2 linked regions of the Sus scrofa genome follow. The protein of the gene in region 2 interacts with the protein of the main gene of each other region in a pairwise test. Links are inferred from orthologs where the notes say so. Each region holds a gene or a part of one and is shown on either strand. Other genes may lie near its edges. The genes, in order: leukocyte-associated immunoglobulin-like receptor 1 and PTPN6.

What was found.
Region 1: the proteins of PTPN6 (region 2) and leukocyte-associated immunoglobulin-like receptor 1 interact in binary tests that used the Homo sapiens proteins (3 or more experiments, as listed by UniProt). The link is inferred for Sus scrofa from reciprocal best matches to the Homo sapiens genes PTPN6 and LAIR1.

What each region holds. Positions count from the first base shown.
Region 1 is NC_010448.4:58,943,859-58,946,944, forward strand, and holds part of leukocyte-associated immunoglobulin-like receptor 1, read left to right. Parts: intron 1-155; coding exon 156-452; intron 453-636; coding exon 637-687; intron 688-2,686; exon of another isoform or gene 2,687-3,086. UniProt on the Homo sapiens protein: Functions as an inhibitory receptor that plays a constitutive negative regulatory role on cytolytic function of natural killer (NK) cells, B-cells and T-cells.
Region 2 is NC_010447.5:63,761,854-63,765,668, forward strand, and holds the end of PTPN6 (tyrosine-protein phosphatase non-receptor type 6), read right to left. Parts: intron 2,392-3,815; coding exon 2,324-2,391; intron 2,227-2,323; coding exon 2,075-2,226; intron 1,965-2,074; coding exon 1,873-1,964; intron 766-1,872; coding exon 651-765; 3' UTR 625-650; intron 434-624; 3' UTR 256-433; downstream 1-255. UniProt on the Homo sapiens protein: Tyrosine phosphatase enzyme that plays important roles in controlling immune signaling pathways and fundamental physiological processes such as hematopoiesis.

The sequences.
Region 1 (3,086 bases), on a different chromosome or scaffold from region 2:
ATTGGATTGTGGTGAAGGCTGCACAACTTGGTGAGTTTCTTAAAAAAAAAAAGAAAAGAAAAGAAAATTTGAACAGAGCCAGTAAAAGGAGTGACTTGTGTTGTGTGTTGAATTCCTCATAACGGAGCCTGAGATTCTGCTCTCCCACCTCCTAGGGGCCCTGCCCAGACCCTCCATCAGAGCTGAGCCAGGCCCTGTGGTCCCCTGGGGACAGCCTGTGACCATCGTGTGCCAGGGCCCTGCTGGGGCTGAGACATTCCGCCTGCAGTACAAGGAGAATATGCATAAGTACAAGGATGAGAGTAACACGATTCAAATTGGTCCACACCAGACAGCGGCCAGGTTCCCCATCGCTGCTGTAAGTGAAGACACTGTCCGGCATTATCAGTGCCTCTATCATCAAAGTGGCATTTGGTCTGAGTCCAGTGAGACCTTGAAGCTGGTGTTGACAGGTGAGGACGTCTCTGCTCTGCCCTCAGGGTGGCCCCAGGCCGCTGTCCCCAGCTGTGTCCTCTGCCCACAGGCCCCCTGCTGGCCCCCCAAGCCCCATGGCCCCCCAAGCCCCGTGGTCTCCCTCACACACACACTCCTTCACCTTCACGCCTGTCTAAAGCCTTCTCCCGCCCCTGATCACAGGACCCCCTGGGGATTTCAGCTCCCCCCACACGGAGCCCTCCTCCTCAGCTGGTGAGTAGCTGACCTCAGCCTGTTGGGGTTTCTGGGAGGCTCTGTGCTGGGGATCAGGACCATTGCCCTGGGCTTGGATCAGGGACTGGTGAGGCCCTGGGAAGGGCATGGCTTGCCCAGGGCACTGCTGGGTCCCTGATATTCACAAGGACACTCTTAACACCCACAGGATAGAGATAACCCTATAACCGGGCACCTGGTGGCAGTAATGCCACCGAGCCCACCATGGAGGGACGTCCCAGGCTTTCTAAGAGCCACCACTCCTTTTAAGAGGCAGAAAGGAGGTTAAGTGTCTTGGGCAAAGGCACAAGGGGCAGACCCAACCCAGGGCATCCAGACCCCATCCTTGGGGTTTGGGCACAGCTTTGCGCTGCCCCCTAGTGGGCAGGTTCCACCGCTGGCCCCTCTGCACTGAGAGAAGGAAGGAGGGACTGATAGCGCATCTCCTAGGAGAGAGAAGAGGCTTCTTGAAGGTTCTGCCTGAACAGCCTAGAAGGAGGGAGAGCCCCCCTCTCAGAGCGTCCTGAACCCGCTGCTAGTGGTGGTGGGGGCGGGCAGCTCAGTCACCCCTCCACCTCCCTCCCCGTTTCATGCCTCCAAGACTCCAGTTCAGAGCAGAACTGCCAGCATCAGGGTTAGGATTCCGGTCCTGCCTTCCCAGCTCTGGGCCCTTGAGTGAATGACCACGCCTTCCGCATCCCGGCTTCTCGCGGGCAAAACCCGCAATAAATACACGAACCCCGCAGTTGAGACACAGGACCTGTGCTTACGTCGGGGCAGCCCAGTAGTACTGATCTTAGGACTATTTTCTTCTCACCTCCTGTGCACCAGACACCCTCCTGCTATGGGGTTGATGCACACGTGAATGAGGAGAAGGGGTCTCTGGCCTCCCAAGCATTAATGGAAGAATTAATTAAAATGAACAATAGAAATGCACTAAGGATATATGGGCATATAGAATATAAACATAACATTTTTCGGGAGTTCCCGTTGTGGCGCAGTGGTTAACGAATCCGACTAGGAACCATGAGGTTGTGGGTTCGGTCCCTGCCCTTGCTCAGTGGGTTAACAATCTGGCGTTGCCGTGAGCTGTGGTGTAGGTTGCAGACGCGGCTCGGATCCTGCGTTGCTGTGGCTCTGGCATAGGCCAGCGGCTACAGCTCCGATTAGACCCCTAGCCTGGGAACCTCCATATGCCGCAGAAGCGGCCCAAAGAAATAGCAAAAAGAAAAAAAAAAAAAATAAATAAATAACTAAAAAATAAACATAACATTTTCAACGTAAAATTTCAGACTTATAATTTAAATAGAATATACTTACACTATATAGCAAATATCGAAGTAATATATTAATACATATGAATAACGCATACAGTGTTATGTCTGTACATTATATTATCATGTAGTATGCATTACTGTAATATATGTGATAGTATATTTACCATAATTTATATGTATAGTTGATATAATTGATATGTAGAGCTTACACTTTATATTTTTAAATTGTGTATAACTAATCTGTGTAAATTAAATTATGCATATGTGGGTTAAAACAATTTAACTGTATATCCAGTATACATTATAGTTATATGATATGTAATATATATAGATGTAAATATATTGATATATATTATTTTTATTTGTAAAACATAAATACTATTTTAAACTGTGATAAACGTCACAAGGCAGTGAAGCAGGGCAGAGGTGTTAAAACACTGGGTGGGCCCGTGGATGGTGGGCCAGCGACACAGTGTTGAGGGCAGGATTCTCTAAGAAATGAAGTTTTCTGCCTTAAATAGGATATTGAGGACTCAGCCTCTGAAGCAGCAGGAGGGAGGGGAGGCGGGGCTCAGACCGAGTGGGTGGACGAGCCCCCAAGACCTCTGCTGGCTCACCTGTGAAATGGGTGGTGCTGCGCCCTTAGGAGGTGTATGGTAGAGGAGCAGGACCTACAGCACATGCGCGGAGTCCAGCCCCGGGCTGGCGGGCAACTGTCTCACCTGCTCACCTCGTGGCTTCGGCGGGCAGCTCCGGGACATCGGGTCTTGGCGTCTTCACTCCCAGGAGAGCAGATCCACCGCATCAAGGGGAGCTGTGAAAACGGAAGGCAGAGCTGAGGATGCCTGTGCCTGGGCCCTCCTACCGGGTGTCCGTCTCTGCGAGGGGGGAAGACGGGGGAGAGCGGCGCTGCCCCCACCACCTCCCGCGGGAAGGGGACGCTGCAGGTGCCCATCACCCAGTGAGGGTGGCATTAGCCTGGTGGCACCACCGAGCCGCCCCGCGACCCGCTGCTCCTGCCCCTGGCGATCTGACGTTTCAGTTTCTTTCACTTAAATTTCAAGGGCAGCAGTCACGTGTGGTTACCAGAGCGGACAGCCCAGAAGTAGAGTATGTCAACCA
Region 2 (3,815 bases):
ACCTCCATATGCCGCGGGAGTGGCCCTAGAAAAGGCAAAAAAAGACAAAAAAAAAAAAAAAAGTGTAAGAAATTATTACTGCCAGTCGTATCACCATCCGTGATCTTCACAACCATCCTCCAGGTTGAAGGGAAGAGACAGCTGGCCCCGCTCACACTCCTTGTACGTCTGACTGTGAAGGCTGCCCTCACTGAGCGGTCCCTGCCTCCCTCCCCCTCCCGCCCAGGCACCCAGAGTTAGAGACCCACACACACAGTGATCCTAACAGCTTTTATTTACAGGAGTAGAAGGGCCTGGCCCAGCCTGGGGCCATGCTGGGCTATATACAGGGTCTGGGAGAGGGAGGTAGGGATGGGGCCATTTAAATTACAATGGAATGGGGGGCAGGCTCCAAGGTGCAGGCTGCAGGTGGTCCACTGGGATGGGGCTGAGGCTGCAGAGAGAGGGGAGGAAGGGATCAGGGGGTGGCTATTCCTGGACGGGTCCCGGGGCGGGGCGGGGTGGGGAGGGGGAGATACAGGTCTGAGATGGTTGGGAAGGCAGGGTGAGGACGCAGCCACCGCATCTGTCCAGGGCAGAGCATGGAGCTGGGGGCCCCTGCGGGCAGGTGGGGAGGAGCCGTACCGTGGCCGCCCCTGGACATGCCCGGCTCACTTCCTCTTCAGGGAGCCCTTGCTCTTCTCCTTGTCTGCTGACCGCTGCTTCTTCACCTTCTCCTCCTTCTTGTTCTTACTGTGCACGTTCTCATACACGTCCTCCTTGTGCCTGCGAGAGGGGCGGGGCGGGCAAGTGCGGACAGTCAGGGAGGGGACAGGGCAGCCTCATCCAGCACCAGCAGCCCCTTAGGACCGCCCACCTCACAGGTGAGCAAACTGAGGCCAGAAAAGCGAGGACACCACTCCTTACACCGTCCTTACACTCCACCAGAAACTCCCGGGAGCAGAGGCTCCATCTCATATCAGTGTACCTGGCACAGGCCCCACGTGGAGGGCACCCAGGAAACACAGGTTAAACCAAGCTCAAGAACGAAGGTCAAGAACCAAGCTTGGGAGTTCCCGTCGTGGCTCAGTGGTTAACGAATCCGACTAGGAACCATGAGGTTGCGGGTTCGATCCCTGGCCTCACTCAGTGGGTTAAGGATCCGGCATTGCCGTGAGCTGTGGTGTAGGTTGCAGATGCGGCTCGGATCCCACATTGCTGTGGCTGTGGTGTAGGTCGGTGGCTACAGCTCCGATTAGACCCCTAGCCTGGGAACCTCCATATGCCACGGGAGCGGCCTCAGAAAAGGCAAAAGGACAAAAAAAAAAAAAAAAAAAAAAAAAAAGACTAAATAAATAAATAAATAAAATAAGCTTGAGGAGTTCCCGTCATGGCGCAGCAGAACCATGAGCTTGCGGGTTCGATCCCTAGCCTTGCTCAGTGGATTAAGGATCCTGCATTGCGGTGAGCTGTGGTGTAGGTCGCAGACTCGGGACTGTCGTGGCTGTGGCTGTTGCTCTGATTAGCCCCCTAGTCTGAGTGCGGCCTTAAAAAGCAAAAAAAAAAGAAAGAAAGAAAGAAAAAAGCAAAAAAAAAGAACCGAGCTTGAACCACTCTCTACACCCATGTAACCACCTTTTTCATCGTTCCGGGAAGATTACTCATGCTGCTTTCCAGTCCATATCACCAGCCCCTGCCAGCCAACCACTGCCCTGATTTCTGTCATCAAAGATGTTTTGCCTGTTCTTATATGTCATATAAATGGAACCAAACAATTAAAAAAAAAAACACCTTGACCTTGAACCGGAACCTCTCAGGAAAGGAAGGATCAGGGGTCAGGCTGGGGAAGAGAAAGAGGCCCATGTGGGGAGGCCGTGGGCAGGAGCCACTCACTTGGAGGAGGTGCGGGAGGCCTTGGCATGAGCGTTCTTCATGGCGAGGGGGTAGGTGATGTTCCCATATTCCGACTCCCGGCCCTTCTGCGACTGTGGGAAGATGGGTGGTAGAAGCGCGGTGGTCCCAGGAGCACCAGAGAAAGCCCACTGCCAGCCCCCCCAACCCCCAACGGCCCGGCCAAGCCTTGTGCTGCCCGCACCTGTATGACCTCCAGCTTCTTCTTGGTGGTTTCAATGAACTGGGCGATGGCCACGTAGATGAACTTGTACTGCGCCTCTGTCTGCACCATGCCCGAGCGCTGGGCCCGCACCATCTGGATGGTCTTCTGGATGTCGATGTCACAGTCCAGGCCTGGCAGGGATGGTGGCTGGAGGTCAGGCCCAGGCCCAGGTGGACCTGGGGGCCCATTCGCCCACCTGCCCCCTCGTCCCCCACCGGTCACTCTCACCCTTGGTGGAAATGCTCTCCATAAGCATGTCGATGACAATGATGGTACCAGTGCGACCGATGCCAGCGCTGGGGAGAGAAGGGGCACCGTTAGAGGCCGGCACTGGCTGGGAAGGGGGAGCCCCGTGTTCAGCGCCAGCATGGGTGGGGCTTAGGGGACCGAGGCTGCAGGGGATGGCTGTGGATGCAAGGTGCCGGAAATGAGAGGGTCTCCAGGTGGGCAGACAAGCAGGGCAGAAGTTGGCTCAACTCTGCACCTGGGGTCTTCTCCAGCCAAGGGATGTGGGGGCAGGGCCAGGCTCTCAAGTCCTAAGATCCTTCTCCCCAGATGCCCATCACTTTCCTTCTTCCCAACACCTCACTCTGCTCCCCGCCCCAGGAGATCTAGGGCCTGGCCCACCTCTGCCCTACCTGCTCCCACAGCCTTGGCGCCCAGGTGAGGCGGCCCTTCTCTTTCTGCGAGGCTCTGCTTCCCTTTTATCTTTTTCTTCTTCTTCTTTTTTTTTTTAGGTCCACACCCGCAGCATATAGAAGTTTGCAGGCTGGGGGTCAAATCGGAGCTACAGCTGCCAGCCTAGACCACAGCCGCAGCAACTCGGGATCTGAGCCACATCTGAGATCTACACCACAGCTCACGACAACCCTGGATCCTTAACCCACTGAGCGCAGCCAGGGATCAAACCCACAACCTCATGGATACTAGTCAGGGTCGTAACCCACTGAGCCACGACGGGAACGCTTCTATTTCCCTTTTTCTTCAGACATTGAAGGCAGTGCAAGGGCAGCCCTGAGACAGCAAGGCACGGGGCCATGCAGCAGGAAGTCTCCCTCTGCCCACCCTCTGCCGCGACCCCTGGGCAAACACACCCCAGGAGGCTCAGGACCCCACCTAGATCACAGGCCCACCCGCTCGGCTAGGCCAGTGGGGCCAATGCCCTGAGTCTAGCTGTCTAATTTCAAACACAGATTGTCAAAAATAACTCCCCCTCACCCACTTCCTTCCTGTAAGATCTAAATAAAGACCATGGGGATTTCAAGTGGGGGGGGCACAGGCAGTGGGGACGTTCTTGGCGAGGGGCCTGACCCTGGAAGCAGAGCGGGGTCCCTGAGACCGCAGGTGAGGGGCACCTCCAGGCTTGGCCCGCCCTGCCCCGCCCCAGCCCAGCCCAGCCCGGCCCGGGATGCAGGGAGGAAGGGTGGCTGGTGGGAGGAAGGAGGAAGTCTCTGCCCTCACAGCCTGGGGTCACAAGGAGGGAGCTGGAAGGGAAGAGATGGAAGCAGATTCCCCTTTCCCGTTCCCTGCCTCATGTGAGTTATTAAAGCGTGAACAGCTCCCATTGTCCAGGGTTCACTGTATTCCAAACACAGCAAGAGGGCTCATTTCATCTTCACGACAACCCTGTCGGAATCCTGATTTTACCGATGAGGAACCACACGGTCAGAGAAGTGCCGTCATGTGTCCAATATCACACAGCCAGCGGGTGGAAGGGCTG